Pelodiscus sinensis: one gene and its partner. The protein of the gene in region 2 purifies or fractionates together with the protein of the main gene of each other region. This does not show direct contact. Links are inferred from orthologs where the notes say so. Each region holds a gene or a part of one and is shown on either strand. Other genes may lie near its edges. The genes, in order: LRRC41 and DRG1.

Region 1 (16,116 bases), on a different chromosome or scaffold from region 2:
GTCTCCCCAGGGATGAGGTACAAGCCATCGCTTCAGCCACTTGAAAGTGGATGTTGCACGACAATAAGGAACAGGGAACAATCCTGCGCTTCAGGGATGGATTAGAGGAGTAAAAAATGAGTCACTCTAGGCCAGGGCTTAGCACTCCAGAGATTTTCAACATTCGACATAGGTCACTTGTCCATCTTCCCTAGCCAGTGCTACATCCCCAGCAATGGGGCTTCTGACAGTTCCTTTCGGGAACAATCTATAGTCTAAGCTCTTTTCCGGTCACATCTCCTCATACCGAACTCCACTGATTCCACCAGAGCCTAGTGGGGGTGCTCTACCGCAGGCAAGAGTCTGGAGGGCTAGGACCTCTCAGACAGTGGATGTCAAATCCCGTTTAAACCGGGAAAGGTGGGCTACAGCCTCCTCCCCACCGTGGCGCACTGCTCCAGCTGGGTCAGGCTCTCCGTGTCTCTGCCCATGGCGCACAAAGCTGGACCTGCTGCAGGTGGGGTCTGCTCTGGCTGGACTGGAGCAGGCCCTGGTGGGAGGTGAGCTGCTGCTGCTCCAGCCCCCACTGGTTAACTGTAACTAGGAAGGGTGATGCTTACTGGTTCACCATTCCCATCCCTATATCAGACCTCACCATTGCTCTCTTTCACCCCCACGCCTCCTAGCTGGACTCATGGGTCCCTTTAATCTGATGGGTTTACATCCCAGTTCCTTCTCCAAAGTAAAGTTACCGTAAATGTACACAGGAACAAAAAACCATATGGGATGTTTTTACTATGCAGTGAAGAATCCCCTCTGGACCGCCTTCAAATATGATTTTATTATTAATTATGGATAATGTGGTACCAAGGAATAGGGCCCCATTATGCTATGCACTGTACAGAGGCTTTTCTTCCTCTCTCTCCTCATGTCATCTTCCTAATTCTCTACTTGCATCTTGGCACCTTTTCCTCTAACATACAGCCCCCCTCTAGATCGTCGCCTTGTATTTTAAACCCTGTTGTTGTCCCATGCACGTCCCTACTTAAAGACAGGCTTGCATGGTTTGAACTATCCTTGCTCCCTTTCAGGGTGAATTTGAGGGTATGTCTAGACTACATGCCTCTGCTGACAGGCATGTAAATTAGACCACCCGGCATAGTCAATGAAGCGGGGATTGAAATATCCCCGCTTCATTAAAATAAAAATAGCCACCGCGCCGTGCCGGCACAGCTGATTGTCGGCACAACGTGGCAGTCAAGACGCGAATCGGTCAACAGGAAAAGCCATTGTCAACCGATTCTGTAAAGCTCCTTTCACAAGGCATAAGGGAGCAGTAGACAACGGCTTTCCCTGTCGACCGATCCGTGTCTTGACTGCCACGTTGTGCCGACAATCAGCTGAGCCGGCACGGCGCGGCGGCTATTTTTATTTTAATGAAGCGGGGGATATTTAAATTCCCGCTTCATTGTCTATGTTGGTATATCTAATTTACATGCCTCTGTTGGCAGAGGCATGTAGTCTAGACATCCCCTAAGAGTGCCCGGTAATGCCTGTTCCACCCCACCAACATTTCAGAGCAGATCTTAGCCGCTTTTAGAATTTGACACCAAATTGCCCAACACACCTGAGAGTAAAAGCTCTGTTGTTGCTACTAACCATTGTAAGACAGAACCAGCTTTTCTAGAGATGCCCAAGAGCTCAACAGGTTACCCAAAGTCCGACAGGTGTCCCCGGTCAGCGGGATGGAGAACAATTCCAGGGCGGACACACTTCGGAAGCGGCATGCCGGTTTCAGAGGAAGGATCCCAACAGATCCTCCTGTGCAGCCAACGCCCTCCAAGCTAGGAGTGTCTGCTGCAGAAGGGGCCCAGCCATCAATGGTTTCCCCCTCCTGCGCACCGCTTTCGTAGAGGGACTCTGCTATTTCCTCCTCCTCCCTAGCAACGGCGAAGACAAAATCATAAAGGTCTTCCGGATCTGCGTGAGCTCTGCGGCTTCTCCTGGGGCAGCGGCGCTTCCTCCCCACTGGAGGCTTGAACCGTCTATAGGGCTTTTGGAAAGTGGGGCTAGCCGAACACCTTTCCGTGAGGGAAGAAGAAGAGTCTTTCAGGTTGCAATGTCCGGGGGGTACTTTGTAGCGTACATCAGGGCAGGCGAGGTTTTGCAAAGGATGGCTCCTCGAGCCACAGAGCACTGGGGTTTTAACAGTGCAACTACTGCTCCTGGACAGTTCGGTAGAAGCGTGAGAGTCAGGATCAGCTTCTAGAAGCAGTTTGGGTGAAACAAATTGGACTGTCTTGCTTCTGGTCTCACGATCACCCCCCTGGCCTGGCTCTGATTGCTGGCCTGGCTCTGACTGCTGGGTGGATCCGCAGCACAGCTGGTTTGACCTGAACAGGGCATCATCCTCTTGAGTTAACAGGCTTTGGGCACCAGACTCCTCTCTGCAAAGACTGCAAGGGCGGCCCTGGTCCACAAGTGTCCTACCTGGGTGCCAAAACCCAGCACTCATGGTCAGAATGAGGACTAAAAGTATTTTGTCGGGAACAGGCCAGGAACACATGGACACCTGGCTGACCGCTCCATGGTGGATCAGACGATGGAGCAGCAAGCTCAGGGACTGTCTAATGGACAGATCAGAGGTCAGCAGATGACGGAATTTCAAGGTTCTCAGGGAGCTGGCCAGGTTTTCTAGCACTCTTTGGTTGGGCTGAGCAGTGAGCTCTGCTACCCCCTGCAGCATATTGCAGATGGTGAGCTGTGTAACATGCCGGGAGCTGAGGAGTAGGGGCGAAAACCGCTGGTCACTCAGGCGCTGATCTGAAGAAACATCCAAAACTCCATGCAGGACATTCGAGAAGAAAGTTTCAAGGAATTTCTTCCTCCAGCTTGCTATGTTCTGTAAAAATATCCCAGAGTTAATGGACTGTATCCTCATTTAAACAAGGTCACAGTGGGAAAGAGGGAGATGGAGGGGTGGTTGTTCACCTTCGGATGCCAATCCAGATTCCGTCCAGGTCAATAAGTTGTTATCCTCTGACAAGTATTTAGTGGATTCAGTCATTTCACAAAAACCACCATTGCCACTTGTTGCTTTTAAAGTGACAGACTACCACGGCTACGCCTCTGAGATTTTGTAACCACTTTCCCAGATATCGGTCTCAGGCTATGTCTAGACTGCATCCCTCTGTCAGCAGAGGGATGCAGTCTAGACATACCCTCAGCAGAGATCAAGGAATTGAATGTGCCAGGGAGACTGAAATACAGTCTGACCCCCAACAAGCAGTTCCTTCAGGAATGTTTGGGGGGACAGTGGTGGCTAACAAGCTCCTAATGCCACAGCCTGTGCTACATGGATTCTGTGCTGCACGCCAGCATTTGACATTCTGAAAGGTACTGGAATCCATCTTAACTAAAATCAGGAGGGCTCGGTATGTCAGAATGGGAAGTCCAGACACCAATGGCTTATTCCCGAGGGCTGTGTCTAGACTGGCGAGTTTTTCTGCAAAAGCAGCTGCTTTTGTGGAAAAACTTGCCAGCTGTCTACACTGGCTGCTTGAATTTCCACAAGAACACTGACTTCCTACTGTCTGAAATAAGTGCTTCTTGCGCAAATACTATGCTGCTCCCGTTTGGGCAAAAGTCCCTTTTGCGCAAGACGGCCAGTGTAGACAGCACAATACTGTTTTGCGCAAAAAAGCCCCTATCGTGAAAACGGCGATTGGGGCTTTCTTGCACAAAACCGCATCTAGATTGGCACGGACGTTTTTCTGCAAAAAGTGCTAGATTTTGCCAACTCTGCCCCACGACTCAGAATGCACCTGCTTGCTCTCCAGCCCAATATATTAAGCCCTCAAAGTGCTATAGCAGCCTCCTGGATGAAAAGATCTAGCTAAGTACCAAATAAGGGATGTAATAGTATAGTCAATTAATCGGTAAGCAAAAGCTTATCAGTTAATGCTATAGACTACACACATTTCTGCCCTGCCTCCGCCGTCGGCCAGTAAATTTTTTTAGCAGGTTGGCCAGCAGCCTGGCTCAATTCCAGCTTCTGCTGGGTCCAGGACCTACCCCTGCTGCAGCTCTGCATTTAAAGTGTATTATGAGCTGGGTTGGCAGCTCAACTCAGTTCCAGCTCATGCCAGGTCCAGATACTCAAGACACCCCGTAGACAGGGGCTGCTTCCACCCCGCACGGCTGCCTCTGATACAGTGGGGTGACAGGCAGGCAGTCCACAAGGGAAGCTGTTTTTTAAACTGGCTCCCCTCACAGACCAGCTCCCGCCTGACACCGTGCACTACTGCCTCTGATACAGTAAATGATCTGGAGAAAGGGGTAAGCAGTGAGGTGGTAAAATTTGTGGATGATACCAAACTGTTTAGGATAATCAAGACAGAAGCAGACTCTGAGGGACTCCAAAAAGATCTCACCAAACTGAGTGATCGGGCAACAAAATAGCAAATGAAATTTAACATGGATAAGTGTAAAGTAATGCACATCGGGAAAAAGAACCCCAACTATACGTACAGTATGAAGGGGGCTAATTTGGCTACGACAAATCAGGAAAGGGATCTTGGAGTTATCGTGGACAGTTCTCTGAAAACTTCCACACAGTGTGCAGCAGCGGTCAAAAAGGCAAATAGGATGCTAGGAATTATTAGGAAAGGGATAGAAAATAAGACACAGAATATCTTACTGGCCCTGTATAAAACTATGGTACGCCCACATCTTGAATACTGTGTACAGATGTGGTCTCCTCACCTCAAAAAAGATATTTTGGCCTTGGAAAGGGTTCAAGAAAAGGGCAACTAAAATGATTAGGGATTTGGAACGGGTCCCATATGAGGAGAGGTTAAAGGGACTGGGACTTTTCAGTTTAGAAAAGAGGAGACTGAGGGGGGATATGATAGAGGTCTATAAAATCATGACTGGTGTGGAGAGAGCGGATAAAGAAAAGTTATTTATTAATTCCCATAATAGAAGAACTAGAGGACACCAAATGAAATTAATGGGTAGCAGGTTTAAAACTAATAAAAGAAAGTTCTTCACACAGCGTGTAGTCAACCTGTGGAACTCCTTGCCAGAGGAGGCTGTGAAGGCTAGGACTAGAACAGAGTTTAAAGAGAAGCTAGATAATTTCATGGAGGTTAGGTCCATAAAAGGCTATTAGCCAGGGGATAGAATTGGTGTCCCTGGCCTCTGTACGTCAGAGGCTGGAGAGAGATGGCTGGAGACAAATCGCTTGATCATTGTCTTCGGTTCCACCCTCTCTGGTGCTGGCCACTGTCGGCAGACAGGCTACTGGGCTAGATGGACCTTTGGTCTGACCCAGTACGGCCGTTCTTATGATACAGAGGCAGCAGTGCAGAGTGGCAGGGGGCTCCTTGGGAGTGTGGACGGAGCACACTGGCTGTTGAGCTCCACTCCTGGGGACTCCACAATAGTTGAGTAACTGATAAGAAATCATGAGGTTAACTGACTATGCAATTAACCAATATTTAACATCATTATTTTGAATACCATGGTAACACATGAGTCCCTGATCCTATAGGCATTTATACATGATTAAGTTTAGACACATCAGTAGTCTCACTCAAATCAATGGAATTACTCTCATGCTCAAAGTGAAACAGATGCATAAGCGTTAGCAAGATTGGAGTGTAAACTTTGTGTCCTTACTAAATTGCTTTATCAAAACGTTTCCAACTCACCTCTGACTTGGGTGGTCTGATTTTCATCACATCGTTCCACAGTTTGTGCCATACTGGCTCGGTTGAGAGTCCTGAAAAACAAACTTTTATTTTACATGAAATCCTCCACCTCAACAGCTTTGCTCAACTCTCCTCTCTTGGGTTTCACAGTGATGTTAATTTAACACAAATAAGAATCATAGAATCATAGAATCATAGGACTGGAAGGGACCTCGAGAGGTCATCGAGTCCAGCCCCCCGCCCTCAAGGCAGGACCAAGCTCCACCTACACCATCCCTGACAGATGTCTATCTAACCTGTTCTTAAATATCTCCAGAGAGGGAGATTCCACCACCTCCCTTGGCAATTTATTCCAATGTTTGACCACCCTGACAGTTAGGAATTTTTTCCTAATGTCCAATCTAAACCTCCCCTGCTGCACTTTAAGCCCATTACTCCTTGTCCTGTCCTCAGAAACCAAGAGGAACAAATTTTCTCCTTCCTCCTTGTGACACCCTTTTAGATATTTGAAAACCGCTATCATGTCCCCCCTTAATCTTCTTTTTTCCAAACTAAACAAGCCCAGTTCATGAAGCCTGGCTTCATAGGTCATGTTCTCTAAACCTTTAATCATTCTTGTCGCTCTTCTCTGTACCCTTTCCAATTTCTCCACATCTTTCTTGAAATGTGGCGCCCAGAACTGGACACAGTACTCCAGCTGAGGCCTAACTAGTGCAGAGTAGAGCGGCAGAATGACTTCACGAGTTTTGCTTACAACACACCTGTTGATACAACCTAGAATCATATTTGCTTTTTTTGCAACAGCATCACACTGTTGACTCATATTCAACTTGTGGTCCACTATGACCCCTAGATCCCTTTCCGCCATGCTCCTTCCTAGACAGTCGCTTCCCATCTTGTATGTATGGAACGGATTGTTCCTTCCTAAGTGGAGCACTTTGCATTTCTCTTTATTAAACCTCATCCTGTTTACCTCTGACCATTTCTCTAACTTGCTAAGGTCATTTTGAATTATGTCCCTATCCTCCAAAGAAGTCGCAACCCCACCCAGTTTGGTATCATCTGCAAACTTAATAAGCGTACTCTCTATCCCAATATCTACATCATTGATGAAGATATTGAATAGTACGGGTCCCAAAACAGACCCTTGAGGAACTCCACTTGTTATCCCTTTCCAGCAGGATTTAGAACCGTTAACAACAAGATTAGAAACATGAGTTGTATTTTTGAGACTATTCAGAGCACTAGACTGATATTGATTTAAAATAAGACATTTTATGTTTGCTAGAGGTGCGATGAGGTTAAACTAATTTTTAAAACACATCTCCTACAAAAATAATCTTTTCCCATGTTATATATTACACATATTATTCTTTTAGTTTCGGTAATTAATTAATTATTATAAAGTAATTAAACCTTTTCTGGGCTAATTCCTGTCTTAATATTAGGGATGTAAAATCCCATGTAATTGGTTAACCAGTTAAACATGAAATTTAAGCTGTTAACCTATGGCCGTTCCAGGCCCGCTGCAGACAAAGGCTGCTCCGGACAATATTACAAATTGTTAATATTTTTAGAAAGCCAAAGTTTGGGGTGAAATTTGAATTGATGGTGTCTTTTAAAAACTATACAGTTGGCGATTTTCACTGAATTCTCATCTATTTAAAGAGACTGAATACACCAGATATCTCCAGTCTTTTATATAATTATTTCTCGCCAGCAATGGTCAGCAGTCACTGAAAAACATTATCTTTAATGCTGTTCAGTGTTCCATAAGAAACATGTGGCATTCTAAAATCTAAATCCAGTTCCAATTAAGGAAAGCATCAACCCCCAAAAGCTTCTCATAGCCAATAGTAACTGTTATTCCTTGTTGACAATCTCGACAAAGAGGCCAAGAAGCGAATGGACAATGGAAACCAAACAACCCTTCAACTTCAGAAAATAAATTTCTATAAATAAAACTGACCTTTTTTCACAGCAGTTTCCTCAATCCTTTCCAGGTAATAGATATTAAGCAACGGCAGGATGCCCTGAAGTATCTGTCCTGGGAGTGCTTTGGGGATGGAGGAAGAGAACAGATGCAGAACACTTTATAAGTCTGAAAAGTATGGAAAAGATTTAGAAAGACGACAAAGTAAAACGGAGAGTAAAGTTCCCACTAGGGTAACACCTGGGTACATGCGTTATGGTCACACGAATGTGCATTTTGGAGCTTGCACTTGAAACAGGGACAGGAACCCATCACCACTGTAGCCAGAATGATGCAGTGAAGCTCCACAGCGGAGCCTCCTGGGCATCACACCCTGCTCACCAAGACCCCAGGGTGCCCCGGTGACTTTGGCCCGCACACAGGATGCTCCAAGTGCAGCCTCGCAGATGTCACAGGCCTAGCTCCGGTCCCGCCAGACGCGCTGCCCTGGAGCAGGCCTGCAACCCCCCCCCCCCCCAGCATCCAGACACACTGAAGTTGGGGCATCCCCGCCCCCCCACGTACTGAGACCCCCCCGCCGCCGATCCCTCCCCCTCTGCACTAGAACCGACGTGACCCCCCCCCCACGTACTGGGACAGGCCCAGGACCCCCCCCCCGCCGCAGGCGGGGCCCCCCCTTACCCCAAACCTCTCTCTCCAGGGCGCCCATGGCGGCGCTCACCACCGCCCCGCTCAGCTCGAAGAGACTGGGGGGGCTCCCGGCAGCAGCCTCTCCCTCCGCCCGGGCCTCCATGGCGGGCGCCGCCTTCCCTCAGCCCCGCGCGCTACGGACGGGGCCGCCCAGGGGACAGGAGAGCGCCGGCCCCGCCGCCATCTTGGGGGCGGGGCATTAGAGCCCGGCTTCCGCTTCCGGGTGAGTGAGGGGGTCACGGGGAGGCGGGGCTTCCGGCGGGTGACCCTGGTGAGTCCTTCTTGGCCTGGGAGGGAGCCCGGCCGGCGCGCGGCAGCAGGGCGGCGATGGGGCTGCGGGACGAGGAGATGCTGGAGGGCGGCAGCGGGGATCCTGAGGTAAGGCAGGTCCAGCCCGCTCTGTCCCGGCGGCTGCAGGGCCGGGGTTCGCCCCTGCCCCACCGCGGCCTGGCCCCCGGCACAGCCCTTTGCCCCTTAGCTGTGTCCCCTGCTGGCCCCCGTACCCCTGTCCGCGCGGCCCGCGTGCGGTACAGCCCCTCTCATAACTGTGTCCCCTGCCGGCCCCCGTGCCCCTGTCCGCGCGGCCCGCGTGCGGTACAGCCCCTCATAACTGTGTCCCCTGCCGGCCCCCGTACCCCTGTCCGCGCGGCCCGCGTGCGGTACAGCCCCTCTCATAACTGTGTCCCCTGCCGGCCCCCGTGCCCCTGTCCGCGCGGCCCGCGTGCGGTACAGCCCCTCTCATAACTGTGTCCCCTGCCGGCCCCCGTGCCCCTGTCCGCGCGGCCCGCGTGCGGTACAGCCCTTCTCACAATTGTGTCCCCTGCTGGCCGCCGTATCCCGCTCATTCTTCTCCTCCTTACAATAATTGTGTTCTCTGCCGGCTCCCGTACCCCGCTCCCTGCGGGCGCAGCTTCCCGCTGTCGGGCCCGGAGTGTGAGGGGCGGCTCGGCTCCGTGTCCACCTGCCGGGGGCGGAGCAGCAGCGCAGACCCCCCCCCCGGTCACGCCAGCCCCCCCCGGGCGGGGTCCTGCTGGGGACGCGGAGGCTCCAGGCCACGGTCGCTGCCTTCGGGGCTCCGCGGGGCCTTCGAATCAGAAACAAACCCGGGAACCGCCGCGTGGCTCCGGGCCCGGGATTGGCTCCCCCCGCATCGCGCCCCGCGGCTCCCAGACGTTTCGGCGTCGCGCCCCCGTCTTGAGTTTTGGGGAAAAAGACCCCGCCCCGCCCCCCCCACAACAAAACCCGTTGAGCAAACACAACTGGGGGGGGGGCTGGGTCGCCTCGCGCCCCTCCTGGAACTTCCTCACCCCCCCCCCCCCCCCCAGTTTGGGAGCCCGTGCTGGATGTTACTGAAGGGTTTAAGGCTTTGTGGGGGGCACAGCATCACTGACCGGTGTCTGGTCTCTTCCCCCAGGGAGAGGAGGAGGAAGAGGCCGAGCTCGTGGTAAGAACTACGGAAGCGGAGAAAACTCTTCTACTCGGGGGGATGCAAGAAACACAAACGTGTTAGAATGGGAGTGAGCTGCGCTTGTTGTTTCTGATCAAACAAGCTTGTTCTTTTGGATTTTGTATCTGTTTGTCAGAAGCTGGGAATGGCCCACAGGGGGTGGATGGCTTGATGATTCCCTGTTCTGTTCATTCCCTCTGGGGCACCTGGCATCCTGGGCTGGATGGACCTTTGTTCTGACCCAGTGTGGTCGTTCTTCTGTTAAGCTGATATCAAATTAAAAGAAGAAAAGGGGCTGATGAAAGAAAACACTTGTGGCATTTCATTGTTCTGTGCAGCATACAGGGAACAGAGTAGGCTAATATATAAGGAACTGGTTTTCAGTGAATTTGTAGGTGTACATCTGTGCATACGTTTTTGTACCATGGCTATCAAGATATGCTTAGGCATATCTGGTAGTGTACGCAAAATAAGTGCATGTTATGTTATATGTGCAAATGCATGAGGTGTTTACCAATGTCTGTCTATGAGCTTGCTGATTATCAGGCCTGCCTTATAATGTGTAGGTTATATGGTGATATGTTTTTTCAGTTTGAGAGCTTTAAAAGCTCCTGGCACCACTGCTGGTGGTGGTGCCTTTTTCTTGTCTCTTCTTAGAAGAGGTACAAAGCAGGGGCAATTTGTCCAGCTGAGGATATGCCCCCCAAGGTTAGGGCTTGGATGTGGATGTATAGCATTATATATAAATGTTACTTGTCAGCATACAGTAGAATTTGATTTGGCAATATTGTCTGAACTCTCAAAGCCTAGTCTTTGCATCAAACCACGTAGAATTAATAACTACAGTAGTCGGGGTTATTGGACTTTTTGTTCTCAACCTTTTAACTTGATCTTCAGGATCCTTTAACCACAATAAGGGAGCACTGTGAGCAGACGGAGAAGTGCGTGAAGGCCCGGGAGAAGCTAGAGCTCTGTGATGCGCGAGTGTCCTCAAGGTCCCACACACAGGAGGACTGTACGGAAGAGCTGTTTGACTTTCTGCATGCCAGGGACCACTGTGTAAGTCCAGCAGAGGCTGATCTCTAGTCATTTCTGTTGGCTTGCAATCTTTAATGGGGGCGTGACTGAAATGCCTTATTTCTATAGTACCTAGCTGTTACCTCGCACTCTTCATCAGTAGATATCAAAACACTTTGCAAAGGAGGGCAGTATCATCATCCCCACTCTACAGATTTGGGTAACTGAGGCTCAGAGGTGAAAGTCACCCAGTAAGCCAGTGACTGAGCCAGAATAGAACCAGGTCTCCTGCTTCCTTATCCATCAGGCAGACTACTTATATAAAGCTCTTGATGTTCTAATAAATTTGATTGCAGTATAGGGTGAATAATCTACTGAAGCAAAGTCATGTATTTAATTTTGAAGAACTCTGGACCTTGATTCTATGGGGTCAATTCTTTTCTCTTAACTACTTATTTGTTCTTGGTTTTTTTTTGTTGTTGTTGCAATTGTCTGATTATAACCATTACATTTATAGGACATCTTGTATGAGATAAGAATGCTCTAGGGGAATGGCTGTTTATTGTCAGAGGGCCCTGTGCTGGTTAGTATGCACTGCAGTACAGCTACTAAATACAGGTCATCTCTGAAGCAGGTGGATTAATTTAAAATATTAGCATTTAAGAACATTTGGCTTTACAAAAAATCCTACAAACAGACTGCTAGTTTGTCAGCCTATAGTAATTGGTTTGAAATACACTTTTGAAGCCATCATAAGTTTTTGAAGAAAGGCCAAGGTGGGACCATATTAGATCATTAGAAAATTTTGGATGGTCAAGGGACACACACTTCTCTGTGATTAATCCCCTAATTAAGTTGCCCCAGTTTTAGTCACTCTGATAGGAACACAGACAGGGAAGTGAAGAGCGAATGTGATGTTTGTCCAGTCCTCAAGACATTTATATTCAGTAAATTGGTCCGTTAGTGAAAGTTTTCTTCTTCCCTTTTTAGGTGGCTCACAAACTCTTTAAGAGTCTGAAGTAAATATTGGAGCAAGACTCACCACCTGCCTCTCTTGTTCAGCTGGAACTTGGTGCAGTTTCTTTTTGGATTCCAAGTGCTGCTTGCTGCCTATTGTTGTGAATGTACAGTATACAAGAACAGCTTCCTAGCTGTGCTGCAATGATCCAAGTGCCAACGGGTCACAGCATCAAAGTTCTGTGAAAAAATGCGCAGCTGTAAACAACATCATCTACTGTTTCTGTGGATTTTTTCCCTCCATATTAAACATATTCAAAGTTCCTGTGGAAATGGTTTCATTTTATGGCTGGATGATGATGATTGATATTCATAACCAGACAGGTGGGAGAGGAGGTTTTTTTCCCCTGTTGTAGAATTCCCTTGTGCATAATCATTGTCAGTAGCATGCCATGCCAGGATCAAATAGTTCATATGACCTTCTTGCTTGTTGGCGCTGTCAAGAGATTCTTTCTGAACATAAGAACGGCCGTACTGGGTCAGACCAAAGGTCCTTCTAGCCCAGTATCCTGTCTACCGACAGTGGCCAGCACCAGGTGTCCCAGAGAGGGTGGACCGAAGACAATGATCAAGCGATTTGTCTCCTGCCATCTCTCTCCAGCCTCTGACAAACAGAGGCCAAGGACACCATTTTATCCCCTGGCTAATAGCCTTTTATGGACCTAACCTCCATGAAATTATCTAGCTTCTCTTTAAACTCTATTATAGTCCTAGCCTTCACAGCCTCCTCTGGCAAGGAGTTCCACAGGTTGACAACACGCTGTGTGAAGAAGAACTTTCTTTTATTAGTTTTAAACCTGCTACCCATTAATTTCATTTGGTGTCCTCTAGTTCTTCTATTTAGGGAACTAATAAATAACTTTTCTTTATCTGCCCTCTCCACACCACTCATGATTTTATAGACCTCTATCATATTCCCCCCTCAGTCTCCTCTTTTCTAAACTGAAAAGTCCCAGTTGCTTTAACCTCTCCTCATATGGGACCCGTTCCAAACCCCTAATCATTTTAGTTGCCCTTTTCTGAACCCTTTCCAAGGCCAAAATATCTTTTTTGAGGTGAGGAGACCACATCTGTACACAGTATTCAAGATGTGGGCGTACCATAGTTTTATATTCTGGGCCCTAGTCTTCCTGTATGTGGAGACTAGATTGTAAATCTGTCAGTATCTTGCCTTAATAAAAACATACAAGGTACTTATGTCCCTTCCCCTACAAGAGATGGATGTGCTACCTGCAGACTAACTTAAAGAAAAGAAACATGTGCAATACAAAAGGTTCCCATTGTTTTAAACAGCCCTCTGACTTGAAAACACTGTCCCTGGTATCTGTACTACAGCAAGAATTACAGGCAGAAATCATGTTGGGTATCATGTCCGATAGGCATGTTCAATGCATTGATATAGCAGCATTTTCACCAGCATCTTGTGAATGTAATCACACTGCCCAAATACTTCCTAGCTTCAAGATAAAGGGGTGTTCTTTGCTTCTATCTATACCAGTGTTTCCCAATTGGTGCTGCGGGGAACCCTGGGGTTCCACGAAGCAAAACTAGGGCTTCCGCGAGGAGCCAGCACTCCCCTGCCCCCTCTCAAAGAGAGAAGAGAGCCGGCTAGCCAGCAGAGGCATGGGCAGCCAGTTGTATGGGCTTGTGGTGCTCATGTTCCACCAATATTTAGAGCTGGAGTGGGCCCCGGCCCCCCAGCACGTCCTCCCACCCCAGGCACGTCCCTGCCGTGCCCAACCTTCACTGAGCTCCCCCTTGCCGGCTGCCGCTGCCCTGAGCGGCGTGCTCAAACCGGTGGGTGGGGAGATGCCTGGGAGTGACATAACGTCATGGCCTGGGATTTTAAAACTGCTGGGTGCTGTGTTGCGCCATGTGGCTGAGTTGCGGGTTTGGAGTCTGGGAACAGAGCGCAGAATTCAGCCTCGCAAAGTGGAAGGCAGAAGGAAGGGGAAGGGCTGGGAGAGGAAGGGGCTTGTGCGGGGGGTGGGGGGGAAGAGAGGGGAAGGGTGCAGGAGAGACAAATGCCAAGGGCCAAGTGCAGACAATGAGGAAAAAGGCAAGAGGGGAGGTGTCAGTGGGAGCAGGACAGGGTGATGCTGGGAGGGGAGAAGGTAAGGACATTGGGGGCAAGAGGGGAGAGGGGGAGGTGCTGGGAGAAGGCTTGAAAGAAGGGGTGGGCATGAGGAAGGCCGGGATGGAGCAAGTCATGTGAGAGGGCACAGGGGCATGAGGGGAATGGGGACAGAGGGTGGTGGTGGGTGGGCATCAGGGAAAAAGGGAGCAAAGGGGGTGGGGGAAGTGAGGGAAGGGGGAGGCATCAGGAGGGTGCAGGGGTAAGAGAAGGTGCAGGTGTCAAGGGATTCTGGGGGTGAAGCAGAAGGGCAGACACCTGCAGTGGAGGGACCAGCATCAGAGGAGAGAGGCAGGGCAGGCGTGCAGAGGGAGGTGTTAGGAGAGGGGATGAGGAGGCATAGCTCATGATCAGAGTGGGGCTACTGGAGGAGTGGGCACTGAGAGGAGAGAAGGGCTGGTGGAGGGGGCAGGTAGCAGGAAGGCTGAGGGCAGTGAGAAGGGCAGGAGCCAGGACAGCAGAGGAGAGTGAGGAGCTGAGGGGCAGCAGGCACCAGGGGAGCTGATGGAACAAGGGGAGGAGACATGGCAGCAGAGGGGAAAGGTCGAGGTTTATAAGATATTTATTAATAACTTGGGTGCCGCAGTGGCACATCCAACCAAGCCTCATGAACTCAGTACTTGCGAGCTGGGCTTTTGCACAAGAGCATCTATGGCAGTGTGGACGCTCTCTTGCCCAAGAAAGGGCCGATGGCCATTTTAGCCATAGGGCTTTCTTGCGCAAGAAATTCATGTTGCCTGTCCGCACTGGCCTCTTGAGCAAGAACAGTTGCGCAAAAGGGCTTATTCCTAAGCCGGAGCATCATAGTTCTTGCTCAAGAAGCCCTGATTTCATACATGAGATCGTCAGTGTTCTTGTACAAGAATATGCGGCCAGTATAGACAGGAAGCAAGCTTTTGCGCAAGATTGTGCCAGTGTAGACACAGCCAAGGGGAGGGCAGGAGGGAGGCCTCAAGGAAGGGGTGGGGGTGGGGTCTTGGGGAAGGAATGTGATTTTCATGCATTGGTGGGGATTTTCCTCCCCCCCCCCCTCTTTTTTTTTTTTTTTTTGCTTGACAAACCTAGGGGTTCCTTGAAATTCTGAAAAGCTGAACAGGGTTCCTCAGCCAAATAAAATTGGGAAACACTGATCTATACCTTCCCTAAGCTTCGTTGTCTGGGAAAAGGCCAGGCTGATCCCAGTGTCTCCCTAGGTAAATGTGGCTTCCATTGTAGGAACTTAGGGGCCATCTACTTTACTGGGAAGATTGATACTGCTGCTGTCAATCTTCAGGCATTTGATTTAGCAGGCCTAGTGGGGAAATGCTAAGTTGAACACTGAGAGCACCCCTGTTGATGCTGGCACTCCTCACTGTCGCAAAGAGTACAGGAAGTTCATGGGAGCGTTTCTCCTATTGACTTCCTGCAGTGAAGAGGGAACCTTAGCTCGGCTTAAGGTACATACGGGGAGTCAATGTTTCTGTAGCTGGAATTGCATACCTTAAAAGCTGATCTCCCCCACAATGTAGACTTGTACTTCCACATTTTACCTCCTGTCTGGAAGGAACCTGTTCCCTTCTTCCTCACCCTGGCTAAACTAATAAAATAATGACTCTTTAAGGTGCCTCCTGCAGCTATTTGCAGTGCATGATATCAAACAGTGATTTAATTATTAGTCTTATTAACTAATCAGGATGCTTTTACTGTTAATTGTAGTTGATAATACTTGGTCAATCATTTTGCTGTGAGAATAATATATTGTTTAAACTAGAAGATTTACCCAGTGTTGCTCGGGTCCTTAAAGAAGTCTTGTTTTTCTTAATTTATATCGATGCTCTGAGATGGAGATGGAGGGGTTTGGTATGCAGGTTGTCCCAAGGAAAAAGAACAACCGCATCCCTCTGTCACTGCAGCAGCTTGGGGGCAGGCAAGAACAACTCCTGCTGCCCCGGTGGGTTCCCATCCTGGTCCCCATATCTGCCCCCAGATTCCCCAATCCCACCTTCCATGGGTGCTAGTTCTATTCCTCAGGAAGCTAGTAGTGGCTGCCCTCAGGGTGTGGGGGAGGGGGGGAAGACGCCAAACCTCACCCACCACTCGAAGCCTCCTGCTCAGTCACCACCAGCTTCCCCAGCCCTACTTTTCCAGGGTGACAGCTCCATCCCTTGGGAAGCTGGTATTGCTGCCCCCAGGGTGGGCAGGGCTC
Region 2 (15,613 bases):
TGCTCCGCTTTTCTTTCTTCACATCCGTAATATTGTGCTCCTGATACTATCTAGTTGTTGTTAACATTCAGCCCTGCCTGTTCCCAGTCTCCCACCTTTTCAATGGCCCCATTACATTGTCTCTGTAATCTAATAGTATTCTCTAAGCCCGGGGGAATTCTGCATCCAAAAATTAAAAATTCTGCACCAAACATTAAACATTTTGTGCACAATATTTTACAATTCTGCAAAATTGTGCATATTTTATATATGAAGGTAACAATATAATCATGTAGGTTTCTCTTATTTTGGTAATTTATTTAATTTACAGTACAACGGATGAAGAACGGGAGTAGGGAGCACAGGGGGAAATCCCTCAACCCCTCCCATCTCAGCTGAATGGCAATTGAGTTCTGGGGACTCAGACTCACAATTTATATTGGCTACTGACCATCTCTAGAACCGTCAGTAGCAAACAGTTCATACAGTGTATTTTGATAAGAATTTTTATCAGTCCAAACATGTAGATCAGTCCTCATCCTGAGGCACCACAAGCATTTACAAGGCCATACTGTCCTTGACAATAAAGCTCCTTAAAAATGTATACCTGTTTTATACTCCTGGTGAATTCACTAAGAAAACTGGGAACAATTCTCTCTCTCTTGCTGTCGCTGTCTCTGATATGAGTGAGCACTACAGCCTAAGCTGAGTGCTAGCTAGCTTTATAGCTCAACCTGTAGTGTAGAGGCTCCTACACTAAGCTCTAGAGGTCAAGGTTTGAATCTGCTTGCCTGGGGCATCATGTGCAGGGCTGTAACAAGGGCGAGGTGGGTGACGCACTTACCTCAGCCGTATAGCTGAGGGGGGTGCAGAAAAATAATATAGAAAATTAATTATTTTAAGACAGGAGCTACTAAGGTATCGTCGCTCGTGCCTTGCGCAATGTCAGCGCTCCTGTCAATGTCAACCACTCCTTAGGGGTGCCGTTTCCTAAGGAGGTGCAATTTTATATTCTTTCCTCAGATGCAAAATTAGCTAGTTATGGCATTGATCATGTGTACCCTTATAGTTTCCCTTTGCCTCTTCTGTGGGGAAGCAAAGAAATCTGCAGGGGCTGTGAATTCTATACGCACACAGTGACATAGAATTTCCCAAGAGCAATCCTCTGAATGTTTGGCTGCTTTGGTTCAGTTGGCCAGTTTTAGTAAATACATTTAAAGCTGGGCCTAAGGCCAACTATGCTCCAATTGTCCATTGCCAACTATCCAATCCCCAATTGTTTACGTCTCAGTCACTTTCCGAGTTGTCCCATTATCTAACTTCCATTCTTACAATTGTCCATTTCCCCAAAGTGTGTCTCAGTCTTCCAGGATCATCTTTGGATTTCATTATTCAAATATATTTCCTATTGGGGACATTATATTCAAGAGAAAAGTATTACTCCCTGTGTAACCCATTATCAGTCTGTAAAAGGATAGGCTGTATTTTTGTGGTGCTTGCTTGAAATATTGCCCTCTGTTACTGTTAGGAGACGATCATATTGGGAAAGGATTTAGGAAGGTTCCAGCTCAGGGTCAGGAAACGCCTTTTCCCCCTGGAGATAAGAGAGCTTAGTGACTTTCACAGAATAGGGGGTCTAGGGTCTGGGCTAAGCATTTTTGAGGAACTACCTCCGAGGAACAAGTTTAAACAGAGCTTTTGCTAGTGTTAGTAACTTTGTTAATTAAATCAAAATCTAGGAAGGAGTAAGCTAGATACAATAAATGTATTTTTAGAACCAAGTGGAAAACTGTATGTTTTACCCCAGTGAAGGAACTAGGAATTCTTTGATCCTGAGGGCTGGTTGTTATGTTAGTCTCAGTAAATTCTGTTTTCAGGAGAGTTATTTTTTTGTTTGTTTTTCAAATAGAACAGGAAGTATCATGTGATCAGAATTGTGGAGACACACCCTGAGATGCTTTCGACTATTTTTGTGTAACATGAAATCCTTGTGGTGTATCAGAGATCCACAGGCCTCTCTACAGAAGCCACAGAACATATTTATTAGGCAACAGGTGGGTAGGAATCCTCTTTTAGGTAGCACTTTAGCTTTCTTTTAAGAGCGAGCACACTATCCTTCTTTGTAAAGTTCTCAGTTCCTTGAATTGTTTAGAAAACTACATTTTCAATAAACAATAAACCAAACAAGTATCTATAGTTCAGAGCTTTCCCTTAAAGGGGCAGTAACTTTTCCTTCCACCAAGCAGCTATTATTTACTCAGCCTGATCTGTTTTAATAGCATATTAGCTGAAGCTGTCCTGCTCTCACTGAGAGCTATGAAGGGGATTCCTCAGGGTCCAAGCTCCATTTCTCCATGTGGAGTTTTCCTTACTTTATTTCAGTGGTTCCCAATCTTTTTTATACCGTGGACCAGAAAATCCATTCACAAACTTCTGGTGTATCAGTAACATTTTATTTGAATAATTGCATGTTCGTTATGCAAATAATTAAAATGCAAATAAAATGTTACCAGTCTGTCCTACTTCCTGTCCCCAGCCCTTTGCCCAGGTCCCTCATACTCTCCAGCAATGACTCCTGCACTCCCCCATATTCCCTGCCTTGAGCCCCCTCAACACTTACATTTCTTAGTGTAAGAAATTTATGTTATTATCACCCCTCCAGCCGAGTATCTCATGAGCAGGACCATTAGTGGCAACCATATGGTGGACTCCTATGGGGCCAGGACCATAACAGGGAGGGGGTTGCAGCTTCCTTGGCGCGGTGGACTCTGTGTGGCCAGGCTCGTGCATGCACCCAGCCTGGGAGCATGTGTGGTGGGGAAGTTCCTCATGGCAACATGTGCTGCCACCTGCGTGCCCAAGTCCATGGCTGGGCCAGACACGGTACAGGGCGGGCAATAGTTGGGCAGCCACAACCTACTGCCCATATCCCTGCCCTTCTCATTGAGTGCTGGGTCTTGTCTCCACCCTGTCTACATCCCTCCAAGAAGTGCTGGTGAAATCTAGCACCCAGCCCGTAGCTATAGCCTCCACCTATGCCACCACCTTGGGGGATACCGGTCCACATGGGCTCCGCTCTGCCTCCTCCATGCCCCACTGCCGGTAAGGCCACTGCCTGCCCTGTCTTGGCCCTGCTCCCATGGGTGTGGCCTGGCGATGTGCCGTGGCCAGTGTTTGGGAACCACTGCTTTATTTGGTAAACTGGGGAGAGTTATTCTGCCAAGAGGGGCCCTCATTGGGGCCCAGAGAGCCCGCACTGCTCATTACAGTCCATCTTTTTGTTTACTGGTAAGATTTACAAACCCAACATTGACACTCAGATGGAGGGAAATGTCTTCCTTTTGTAGTTTTAAAACCATTACAATTTTATGGAAAAAATTTTACAGTGTGCATTTAAAATCTCACTCATCGAGCCTTGAAATCTTCCTCGTACAACTTGTCATAGTTTTACTGCCTTGAAGTGCAGCAAGAGAAATAACTAAGAGAGGGGTTCCAGTCTATGACTAGGGTACCTAGGTGCTAGGGTAATACAACAACAGAAATAGAAATACGTTTTCCCTAGAGTCATAATTTTCTGGCATTTGATTCCTGGTTGAATGCTGTGAGATCCACCTGGGCCTGTAATCTGCTGAGGATGTTAGTTACAGTCTCCTCAGCTACAGGTTGGACCTGACCAAGGGGATTTGCTGCATCAGGGGAGACCCCTGCCATTGGCTTCGCAGCCCCTCCCCATTGCCGGCTGCTTCTGGTCTGCTCCTAGACCTGCTGCCATCAGCTCAGGTGTAGGCTCCAGCTCTGGCCTTGCTGCCAATGGGCGTTAGCACCAGCTGCCCTTATGCTGGTTGTCCAGGCCTTCTTGGGGTAGGGATGTTATAGTATAAAAGTCGATTAATAGATAAGCAAAAGTTAATTGGTTAATGCTATAGACTACATGCATTTCTCTCCCCCCACACGTTGCCAGGACATTTTTTAGCAGGGCTGCCCAGGACCCTGGCTCAGTCCCGACTTCTTGGTACAAGTGCTGAAGGATCCAACCAGGGGCCGTGCACAGCTTGACCTTCTCCTCACAAACAGGGAGGAACTAATAGGGGACGTAGAGGTGGGTGACAACCTGGGAAGCAGTGATCATGAGATGGTAGATTTCAGGATCCTGACCAAAGGAAGGAAAGAGAGTAGTAAAATACACACCTTGGACTTCAAAAAAGCAGATTTTGACTCCCTCAGAGATCTGATGGAAAGAATCCCCTGGGATGTTAACATGAAGGGGAAAGGAGTCCAGGACAGCTGGCAGTATTTTAAAGAAGCCTTATTGAAGGCACAGAAAGAAACCATCCCGACGCATAGCAAGAGAGGCAAACCTGGTAGGAGACCGGATTGGCTTACAGGGGAAATCCTTGGTGAACTTAAGCACAAAAAGGAAGCTTACAGAAAATGGAAACTTGGAAAAATGACTAGGAAGGAGTTTAAATGAATAGTTCGAGAATGCTGGGGGGTTATCAGGAAGGTGAAAGCGCAAATGGAGTTGCGACTGGCTAAGGATGTGAAGGATAACAAGAAAGGTTTCTACAGGCATGTCAACAAGAAGAAGGTGATCAGAGAGGGTGTGCAGTCCCTAATGGATGAAGGAGGTAACCTAGTGACAGATGATGTGGGGAAATCTGAAGTTTCTCAATGCTTTCTTTGCCTCTGTATTCACGGACAAGGTCGGCTCCTGGACTTCTGTGCTAAGTGACGCAAGATGGGAAGAAGATGGACAGCCCTTGGTGGGTAAAGAACAGGTTAGGAACTATTTAGAAAAGCTAAACGTACACAAATCCATGGGTCCGGACTTAATGAACCCGAGGGTACTGAGGGAGTTGGCAAATGTCATTGAGGAGCCTTTGGCCATTATCTTTGAAAAGTTGTGGAGATCGGGAGAAATCCCGGATGATTGGAAAAAGGCAAATGTAGTGCCCATCTTCAAAAAAGGGAAGAAGGACGATCCAGGGAACTATAGGCCGGTCAGTCTTACCTCAGTTCCCGGAAAAATCATGGAAGGGATCCTAAAGGAATCCATTTTGAGACACTTGGATGAGAGGAAAGTGATCAGGAATAGTCAGCATGGATTCACAAAGGGCAAGTCGTGCCTGACCAATCTGATTAGCTTCTATGATGAGGTAACTGGCTCGGTGGACATGGGAAAGTCAGTGGATGTTGTATACCTTGACTTTAGCAAGGCTTTTGATATGGTCTCCCACAATATTCTTGCCAGCAAGTTAAGGGAATGTGGATTGGATAAATGGACGGTAAGATGGATAGAAAGATGGCTAGAAGGCCGGGCCCAGCGGGTAGTGATCAACGGTTCGATGTCAGGATGGCGGTCGGTTTCTAGCGGAGTGCCCCAAGGTTCGGTTCTAGGACCGGTTTTGTTCAATATCTTTATCAATGACCTGGATGAGAGGATAGATTGCACCCTCAGCAAGTTTGCAGATGACACTAAGCTAGGGGGAGAGGTAGATACGCTGGAGGGCAGAGATAGGGTACAGAATGACTTAGACAAATTGGAGGATTGGGCCACTAGAAATCTTATGAGATTCAACAAAGACAAGTGTAGAGTCCTGCACTTGGGACGGAAGAATCCCAAGCATAGTTACAGGCTGGGGACCAACCAGTTAAGTAGTAGTTCTGCAGAAAAGGACCTGGGGGTTACAGTGGATGAGAAGCTAGATATGAGTCAACAGTGTGCCCTTGTAGCCAAGAAGGCTAATGGCATATTAGGATGCATTAAGAGGAGCATTGCCAGCAGATCCAGAGATGTCATTATTCCCCTTTATTCGGCTTTGGTGAGGCCACATCTGGAGTATTGTGTCCAGTTCTGGGCCCCCCACTACAAAAAGGATGCAGAAGCATTGGAGAGGGTCCAGCGGAGGGCAACCAAAATGATTAGGGGGCTGGAGCATATGACCTACGAGGAGAGGCTGAGGGACTTGGATCTGTTTAGTCTGCAGAAGCAAAGAGTGAGGGGGGATTTGATAGCAGCCTTCAACTTCCTGAAGGGAGGTTCCAAAGAGGATGGAGAGAGGCTGTTCTCAGATGGCAGAACAAGGAGCAATGGTCTCAAGTTGTGGTGGGAGAGGTCCAGATTGGATATTAGGAAAAACTATTTTACTAGAAGGGTAGTGAAGCATTGGAATGGGTTACCTAGGGAAGTAGTGGAGTCTCCATCCCTAGAGGTATTTAAGTCTCTGCTTGACAAAGCCCTGGCCGGGTTGATTTAGATGGGATTGGTCCTGCCTAGAGCGGGGGGCTGGACTTGGTTCTATGATTCTATGATAAGGGGATGGTTGGATGAAATAACGGGATCTTGGTAACTAATTGACCATTCATTATCAGTTTGAAATAGGTCAATGGAGGGATGATAGGAGTTGCTATAGGGAACTTTCTGAGTGTCTGGCTGGTGAGTCTTGCCCACATGCTCAGGGTTTAGCTGATTGCCATATTTGGGGTCGGGAAGGAATTTTCCTCCAGGGTAGATTGGCAGAGGCCCTGGAGGTTTTTCGCCTTCCTCTGTAGCATTGGGCACATATCTTTGATATAGGTGAGAGGATTATTCTAAGAGGGGTGGGTGAGATTCTGTGGCCTGCACTGTGCAGGGGGTCAGACTAGATGATCATAATGGTCCCTTCTGACCTTAAAGTCTATGAGTCTATGCACTGGGCACTGGACCTACCCCTGATATGGCTCTGCATCTAAAGTGTATTAGGAGCCAGGCAGGCAGGCAGCCCAGCTCATGTTGGGTTGGGGAGCTCACACCTCCCCCTTCCCCCAACAGGGGCTACCTGTGGACTATGGAATAATCAACTAACCGATAAAAATTCACGAGGATAATAGACCCTTCTATTAATCAATTATCAGAGGGGTAGCTGTGTTAGTCTGAATCTGCAAAAGCGGCGAGGAGTCCTGTGGCACCTTATAGACTAACCAAAGTGTTAGAGCATAAGCATTCATGGGCAAAGACCCACTTCGTGAGATGCATGTAGTGGAAATTTCCAGAGGCAGCTATAAATATGCAGGCCAGGATCAGACTGGAGATGATGAGGTGGATCCAATCAGGAGGACGAGGCCCACTTCTAGCAGCTGATCTGGAGGTGCGAATTCCAAGAGAGCAGAAGCTGCTTTTGTAGTTAGCAAGCCATTCACAGTCTTTGTTTAATCCAGAGTTGATTGTTTAGCCACTTCTAGTAGCTGATTCTAGATCAGCTACTAGAAGTGGGCCTCATCCTCCTTGATTGGATCCACCTCTCATCTCCAGCCTGATCCTGGCCTGCATATTTATACCTGCCTCTGGAAATTTCCACTATGTGCATCTGACGAAGTGGGTCTTTGCCCACGAAAGCTTATGCTCCAACACTTCAGTTAGTCTATAAGGTGCCACAGGACTCCTCGCCGCTATTAATCGATGTTTAACATCCCTATCCTGGGGCCAGAGCTGCGCCGCCCACTCCCCCCTCGTGCTAAGGGGCTCCTGCCAAAATGGCCACCCTCCCCTATCCCTGGGCTCTGTGGCCCAGCACTGTCCGTGGCCCAGTGCCGGAGCAGGGCGGTGCAGCCCGTAGTCTGAACCACACTTCATTCTTTGGGGCGCCCCGCAGCCCCCCTATGGGGCAGAGGAGAGGAAACCCCGGGACGGATTTGAATTGCTGCAACCAGCGGGCTGCCGAGCCAAGGCACCAAGGCGGAGGCTGCGGCCGGGCCAAGCACAGCAGCCGCGGGGCAGCTCCCTGCAGGGCTGCGATGGGGTGTGTCCCCCGCGGTGCAGGCAGCGCTGCGGGCCCGGCTGCCCCGCCAGGCGGCGCTGAGTCCTAGGGGGCGCTAGGGTGCCGGCTAGCCCCGTGACATTGGGACGCGTCCTCCTCGGGCGGGCTGAGGGCGCAGTTTCCTGCGCGGGCGGGGCTCGCCGGGGGGGCGTGGCTTGGACACTGACGTAGCCGCCTTCTGTGCCGCGGGGAAAGCCCCGCGAGGCTTGCCTCCTCTCGCGCGGTTTCGCCGGGCGCCTGCGCAGTGCGGGGCCCGCGGAGGAACGCCGGGGTCGCTGCGGCCTGGTCGCGCGCGCGAGGGAGCGTCGCCAACATGAGCGGGACGTTGGCCAAGATCGCGGAGATCGAGGCTGAGGTAACCCGCTTCCCCCCCCCTCCGACGGGCTGGGCGAGGCCGCGCGGGGTCCTGCGGGCGGGGGCGCGGGGGCAGCAGGGGCCGCCTCCGCGGCGGGCAGTAGCGAGCGCTGCGCTGTGCTGCTCCGCAGATGGCCCGCACGCAGAAGAACAAGGCCACGGCGCACCACCTGGGGCTGCTGAAGGCGCGGCTGGCCAAGCTGCGGCGGGAGCTCATCACCCCCAAAGGCGGCGGCGGCGGCGGCCCCGGAGAAGGTGGGTCCCCCCCCCCGCCGCGCCCGGTCCCGGATCGCTCCCCCCTCCCCCCCCGCCGCGCCCGGTCCCGGATCGCTCCCCCCTCCCCCCCCGCCGCGCCCGGTCCCGGATCGCTCCCCCCTCCCCCCCCGCCGCGCCCGGTCCCGGATCGCTCCCCCCTCCCCCCCCGCCGCGCCCGGTCCCGGATCGCTCCCCCCTCCCCCCCCGCCGCGCCCGGTCCCGGATCGCTCCCCCCTCCCCCCCCGCCGCGCCCGGTCCCGGATCGCTCCCCCCTCCCCCCCCGCCGCGCCCGGTCCCGGATCGCTCCCCCCTCCCCCCCCGCCGCGCCCGGTCCCGGATCGCTCCCCCCTCCCCCCCCGCCGCGCCCGGTCCCGGATCGCTCCCCCCTCCCCCCCCGCCGCGCCCGGTCCCGGATCGCTCCCCCCACCCCCCCCCCCCCCGCCGCGCCCGGTCCCGGATCGCTCCCCCCACCCCCCCCCCGCCGCGCCCGGTCCCGGATCGCTCCCCCCCCCCCCCCCCCGCCGCGCCCGGTCCCGGATCGCTCCCCCCACCCCCCCCCCGCCGCGCCCGGTCCCGGATCGCTCCCCCCTCCCCCCCCGCCGCGCCCGGTCCCGGATCGCTCCCCCCTCCCCCCCCGCCGCGCCCGGTCCCGGATCGCTCCCCCCACCCCCCCCCCCGCCGCGCCCGGTCCCGGATCGCTCCCCCCACCCCCCCCCCCGCCGCGCCCGGTCCCGGATCGCTCCCCCCACCCCCCCCCCCCCGCCGCGCCCGGTCCCGACTCGCCCCCCCTTCCCCTCCCCGCTGCGTCCCGGTGGCTTCGCTGTTCCGTTGCCAGCTGGCACGCGCCATGGGCTGGCTTCAGAGGGCCGTGTTGTGACTACACGCACTTGCCGTGGCACGGCCCTGGGGGGAGGGGCGGGGCATGTGGCCTCGCTGGCCGGGGGCGGCCTCACACTGGCGGCGACGAGCGAGTGTGTCCGGGTCTGCAACCCACCCTGAAGCACTTGTCCGTGGCCCTTCGTGGAGGGAGACGCTCACACACACGGGAGGAGTCCTGCAGCACCGCAGCGACTCCCCAAGCGCCCGGGTGGAGTGCTTTCGGCAGGAGAAGGAGGCTGCCCCACCAAAGCTCCTGACACCAGCTGTTTCGTGAGTCTCTGAGGTGCTGCGGGGCTGTTCCTTGTTTTGTAAGTTTTTGTCCAGTTACAGACTAACTCAGCTGCACTCCTCTGACACTTTTATTCAGGGAGGGGTTAGGGCAGTGGCAGCCTTTGTAAGCACAAGATCACTTTTTCTATCTAAGTCAGCAAATGGTCTGGTAGCACTTTATAGACTAACAAAATGTGTAGATGGAATCATGAGCTTTCATGGGCACAGCCCACTTCTTCAGATGACTGGAGTTCAGATTAGAGGACAAGGAAACTCAAAATAGCCAAATTTGTCCTACCTCCTTCCCCACCCCTTCTTCAAGGCCCTGCCTTGCTCATCTGTGGATACTGGGTACAAATGTGGAGGGAAGATGACATCCTGGCATCAGTTCTCCCCTCTTCTGCTTCCCTGCACAGCCAGCAGGAGGCTCTTGGGGGAAGCTCTAAGGGGGAGGGCAGGAGCAGAATGGCAGTGGGGAGAGGGGCAACTGAAGTGCTGCACTTGGTAGTCTCTTGGCCAAACCAGTAAGATCACCGCCATACGCGCCAAGATCTACCAATAGATCCTGATCTACTGGTTGGTGACCCCTGGGTTAGGGAAATTGCTGCGTTTGCAGAAACTGGGGTGGTGGCAGTTAATGAAGCACCTTGCTGGACCGCCTCATTTTTAAATGGGAAAGTGTAGCCCACCTCAGATACATTGCTCAGAATCAGTACTCTGACCTTCTTCTGAATAGCCTGCCAGTCCTGTTTTCTGCTGTGCCTCTCTCTCCCCTGCCTCCTGCAGAGACCATGCTGAGGGGAACTGGCTTTTAAGCTGGCTTCCACCAGCTGCTGTTCCTTCCCCCTCATCTTTCTGCCTCTCTCTGATAGAGATATCAAGGGAGTGAGGGAAGCAACTAGTTGCATCACTGGTTAATAATCCTATAAGCTTCTGCTTATCTGATTATTGACTAGTCTCTTACATCCCTAATATGAATGGGTCTCCTCTCCAAAAACTAGACATTCTTTGAATTTGCTTTTTGTTAATTTCTCTCTCTATTGACAGATATAAGTATAAAAATGTTCCTGGGGATGACAGAGTGGTTGTCAGCATGTCACTCTGCATCTCTCTCCCCTACTTCCTCCCGGCCCCGGTTCCCCCTCTGGCAGCTCCTTAGGGTGCACTTTGAGCTCCCTGCTGGCCCTTGGCTCCACTGCAGGAGGGTCAGGAAGCAGCAGAGGTGGCAGCCACCCCTGGCCCCACTTATATTTTTGGGTCCGGGGCCTCGAGGCAAACCACTGCTGCCATCTTCCTTGGGCCAGGAGCTTGAGCCGCCACCTCCCTCATCTGCCTAGTGCTCCAGTGTCATTCTCCCCCTTTCCCTTCCAGTGCAAAATTAGAGCCTCAGCACAGCTGGCTGCCTGCAGGAGGAAAGGGGAGGAGAATGCACTGAAGGTTGGGGTTAAGCCTTGGGGTGTTCTTCCCTCCCCAGAAAGCAGGCACTAGTGCTCTAATCTTGTGAGGGGGCCCATGAAGCTGGAGCACCAGATGGGTGTCAGCCCGAGGGAAGTGGCAGTGACTTCCCCATTTGTGCAGCAGGGAAAGCCTCTAATGCCTGGGAGCGGCTGTGGCATGAAAAGAAGCAAGTGCTTCCACAGCCCCTTGTACACAGACCCTGCATTCCCAGTGCCTGATGCACTCTTCCCCCCTACTGCTGCCCCAGACTGCTCCTGTCCCTTCCCCTCCCTGACTAGATACCCTACCCTCAGCTTTCTCCTGCCCTTGTGTTGGCTCCTGACCCATCTACTTGGCCAGACACCCTGCCCCCCTGCCCCCAGCCTGCTACTGCATCCTCCCCTGCTCCCCCCCCTCTGGCCAGACACCCTGCACCCAGTCTGATCCTAACCCTTCCCCCCCAGCCAGCACCCTGCTCATTTGGGGCCCAACCCCCCTCTGGCCATGTTCCTGGGCCTGATCCTTGGACAGGCCTCGCGGTCCAGCCCCTATCTGGCTGCAGGAAGGACTGGTGGCAGCCTCCCTCCTGCTGCGGCATGAGTAGGAGGAGAGGTCATGATCCAGCTGCAGTGGAAAATGGGGGGTTGGTGAATGTAGTGAGCAGGGGGCACAGTGCCCTAGTTATTATTATTAACACTTATTTTTATTATGTTGTAGGTTTTGATGTTGCGAAGACTGGTGATGCTCGAATTGGGTTTGTGGGTTTTCCCTCAGTGGGAAAATCTACTCTGCTGAGTAACCTTGCTGGTGTGTATTCTGAAGTTGCAGCATATGAGTTCACCACATTGACTACTGTGCCAGGAGTCATTCGATATAAAGGAGCAAAGATACAGGTGAGACCCTTTTTCTAAAACGAGGTGTGTATAAGTTGGCTTTGACACTAGCTGAACTATCTAAACTATTGTTAAATTAGAGGTAAAGTAGTATGTGGGAATGTTTTGTGGAGCTACTTCTAAACATCTTTTACTGAGTTTTAACTTTAAACATTTGTCAGTACTGCCCATGGTGCTTCAGTGGGAAAGTTCTACAGCTGGGGAGTTTTTCCACAATTCATTTAATACAACTCTCCATACTTCATTTCATCAATACAAAATTGGAATTAAATTTTGGATGTTGTGGATAATCAGCTGAATAGGAGCTTCAGTTGGGATGCTGTATCCAAAAGGGCTAATATGATTGTCAGATGGATAAATGGGAAATGTCAAGTAGGGGTATAGAGAGGTTTTTTTACCTCTGTGATTGGCACTGGTGCAACTGCTTCTGTAATTTTGCATTCAGCTCTGTTGCCCATAGTAGGGATGTGAATGTGTAGCCAGCTATACAATTAACTGGAAAGCCTAGGCTTATCGGTTAATCTTGTTGATTACATGCATTCCCCCCTTCTTGTTTCTTCTGATACAGAGTGTGGGGATGGGGATAGACTGGAGCCAATACATGTGAGGAACCAGCTTTCAAGCCAGCTCTCTACTGTATCAGAGGCAGCAATGTAGGGCAGCAGGCAGCTGATCCACAAGGGGAGCTGGTTTTGAAACTGTCTTTGTTTGCGTACTGATTCTGCTTGCCATCCTGCATTGCTGTCTCTTCTACCCTGTACTGCTGCCTCTGTGGCAGGGAGCTCCCTGGGAGTGGGGTCAGGAGTGCACTGGCTTTGCTGCTGGGCCTGCTCCTGGGGACTCTTGAATAGTCATGCAACTGCTAAGAATTCATGCAGTTACAGAACTATTTGTTTGCACAATATCTAACATACTTAGGCTACAATTTAGCAAAGATGTTGATTAATTGAGGGTTTAGAGAAGAGCTATGAGAATGAATAAAGAATTAAAAAACATTGAATAGTGTTAGACTCAAAGAACTCAAAAGAAGGCTATGGGGTGACATGATTAGTGAGTAAGTATCAGAGGGATAGCCATGTTAGTATGTATTTGCCCACAAAAGGTTATGCCCAAATAAAACCCTTAGTCTTAAAGATGACACAGGACTCCTCATTGTTTTTTGCAATGATTTAGTACCTACATGAACAAATTCTGAGACAATTTTTTTCTGTCATCTTCTATTGAGATCCCCAATAGATTCAATTAACTTTAGAAGTGGGATGAGGTCTTGTTCCTTTGTGGCAAGGGAGGCATACATAATGTATTTCCTTCTTCTCTAAACACACAGCTTCTTGATCTCCCGGGAATTATTGAGGGAGCTAAAGATGGGAAAGGCAGAGGTCGGCAGGTCATTGCAGGTGAGTGGCATAGGGCTGGAAGAAGCAGTCTGTCACCAATATAGCCATTATCATTTCTGCTGGAGAAGCACCAGTTTGAGTTTGCTTTCTGGGCTTGGGAAATCCTGTATTTCTAATGCCTTGAAAGTATTCGTTTCTTTTATAGTGAAGTGAGTTATTTAATCCATAGACAAAGGGGGGAAGTGGTTGTGTTCCACTTGAATGGCTAGATTGCCTGAAGATTGGGCAGACCCTAATACTGAGATGTTTTGTATCTGCCCTGAAGCACTATGTTTCAGATTCAGGCCCAATTTCACATTAAACAAAACTTTTAATTTCTCTCTCACTTATTTCCTATGCCTTTTTTGAGGTGTTGAAATGTAGACATCAGGACTATTTCATCGATTTGATTCTTTAGGTTAGAGTCTAACATCTGCATTAGGTGATATTATTTTACTAAACTTAATCTGGCAGCACAAAACCCAATAGGTTATTGACCAAGAAAATCTAGTGATGCTTTAAAAAACGTGACATGACTTATTCCTCATTGGCAGGGCTCGCTGAACCGTGGTGAGCCCCGCTCACCAGCCGTGCTGTCCAGCGATCTGTGCATGCGCAGATCGTTCTGCGCATATGCAGATCGCCCGAACCCAGCTCTTCCGGGTTGCAATCTACTCGCCCGTGGCAAGGAGATTGCATTATTTGTTGAGCTCTGCTCATTGGTTCTCATGGGTCTCACTGTCTTCATCAGAAGACACGTGCCTCTTAAATTCAGCCATGCAGTAACTTACTGCTCTCTCCACATGCCAGGCTAATGGCAGTGAAGAAAAAATCATTGTGTTAAAGTGGGATACTGGAATTAACTGCCGCCCACATTGCTTCTCCAACTGCCGTATTGAGGTGAAAAGATTAGTTCTGAAGCCATTCAGTCATTGACCTCTGTTTGCTATCCAGGATATTAGGTAGGAAGGTTTAAGTTCAAGCTATATGAGCTAACTGGCCTTTTTACCTTTAATGGCTTTTACATAAGAATGGCCAGACTGGGTCAGATCAAAAGCCCATCCAGCCCAGTGTCCTGTCTGCCCGCAGTGGCCAATGCCAGATGCCCCAGAGGGAGGGAACACAACAGGGAATCCTCATGTGATCCCTCTCCTGTCACCTACCTCCAGAAACTTTTATATAATGAAAACATCATGATATAGACTAAGACTAGAAATTTTGCTCTTTTAGGCCTCCGAACGAACTTTAAGTGGTAACTAAATTGCAGTTGCTACCAACTTAAATAGGATTCAACCAACTGATGGTATCGCATCTTGTCACCAGTTTTGATGGATATTTTTGTTTTTCTAGAAGTACTGTACTTTTTAAAAAAGGTCTGGGAATTAACCCACTGGAGGAACTTTGTTTTCTGATCCTCAGTTGCTCGAACTTGTAACCTCATTCTGATTGTTCTGGATGTACTAAAACCACTGGGGCACAAAAAGATAATTGAGAATGAACTGGAGGGCTTTGGAATACGGCTGAATAGCAAGCCCCCAAATATTGGTTATAAGAAGAAAGATAAAGGCGGCATCAACCTCACAGCCACAGTAAGTATGAAAATTACAACAGGCTGTTATGATGGGGGATTCAGAGGGCTGCTTAATTCTAGAAGGATGCTGTCTCCATAAATGGAGAAACTGGTTACACTGGTTCAGTGCTTAGGAAAGAGTTCCTTCTCCATCTGGGATACTCATGCTTGCAGCAGTGACCTTCTGGAGGCAATACTTGCAGTAACTAAGTGAAGTCCAGCCTCTGAAAACATCTTACTAGAGCCCTTAATGGGACAAATGGGATCAGTAAGGCAATACTATGAATTGAGATTTCTCTCCACTGTCCCCAAGCCATCTATGCCAAAAATATCAGTTCCAGCAATTTGCAGTATATTAATTATTTCTTGACTGTGTGCAGTTAGGTGATTATATTTAGTCAGTTATTACGTTCAGTGATGCTAACTCCTCCAATCTCTAACGTTATCTATGTGTACAGTGTCCGCAGAGTGAACTAGATGCGGAAACAGTGAAGAGTATCTTAGCAGAATATAAAATTCACAATGCTGATGTCACACTGCGTAGCGATGCCACTGCTGATGACCTAATTGATGTTGTTGAAGGAAACAGGTACTGTCTTCATTTATAAACACTCCCTTCCACCCCAATTCTACAGTCTGATTCCAATACAAGCCAGCTTACTGCTGCAGTTTTTCCCCATTCCTTGTTTCTTACTCACTCTTGGATGTTTTTTCCTCACAAGGACAGTAGAATGGAGTAATTTTGGATGTTGCTGACATCCCCATATCTCGTGTCCTTCTCTTTGCAGAGTTTATATTCCATGT

What was found.
Region 1: the proteins of DRG1 (region 2) and LRRC41 purify together in Homo sapiens (affinity purification with mass spectrometry; 3 studies listed by BioGRID and IntAct, counting the BioPlex papers as one, with this or other methods). This does not show direct contact. The link is inferred for Pelodiscus sinensis from reciprocal best matches to the Homo sapiens genes DRG1 and LRRC41.

Annotation. Positions count from the first base shown.
Region 1 is NC_134719.1:3,143,051-3,159,166, forward strand, and holds the start of LRRC41 (leucine-rich repeat-containing protein 41), read right to left. Parts: upstream 8,509-16,116; 5' UTR 8,420-8,508; coding exon 8,308-8,419; intron 7,795-8,307; exon of another isoform or gene 7,750-7,794; coding exon 7,663-7,749; intron 5,765-7,662; coding exon 5,694-5,764; intron 2,882-5,693; coding exon 1,639-2,881; intron 1-1,638. Other genes in the region: UQCRH (cytochrome b-c1 complex subunit 6, mitochondrial), read left to right, coding at 8,644-8,694, 9,731-9,760, 10,661-10,822, 11,771-11,803. UniProt on the Homo sapiens protein: Probable substrate recognition component of an ECS (Elongin BC-CUL2/5-SOCS-box protein) E3 ubiquitin ligase complex which mediates the ubiquitination and subsequent proteasomal degradation of target proteins.
Region 2 is NC_134725.1:8,319,987-8,335,599, reverse strand, and holds the start of DRG1 (developmentally-regulated GTP-binding protein 1), read left to right. Parts: upstream 1-7,971; 5' UTR 7,972-8,088; coding exon 8,089-8,130; intron 8,131-8,260; coding exon 8,261-8,384; intron 8,385-11,687; coding exon 11,688-11,863; intron 11,864-13,190; coding exon 13,191-13,260; intron 13,261-14,658; coding exon 14,659-14,828; intron 14,829-15,267; coding exon 15,268-15,398; intron 15,399-15,597; coding exon 15,598-15,613. UniProt on the Homo sapiens protein: Catalyzes the conversion of GTP to GDP through hydrolysis of the gamma-phosphate bond in GTP. Appears to have an intrinsic GTPase activity that is stimulated by ZC3H15/DFRP1 binding likely by increasing the affinity for the potassium ions.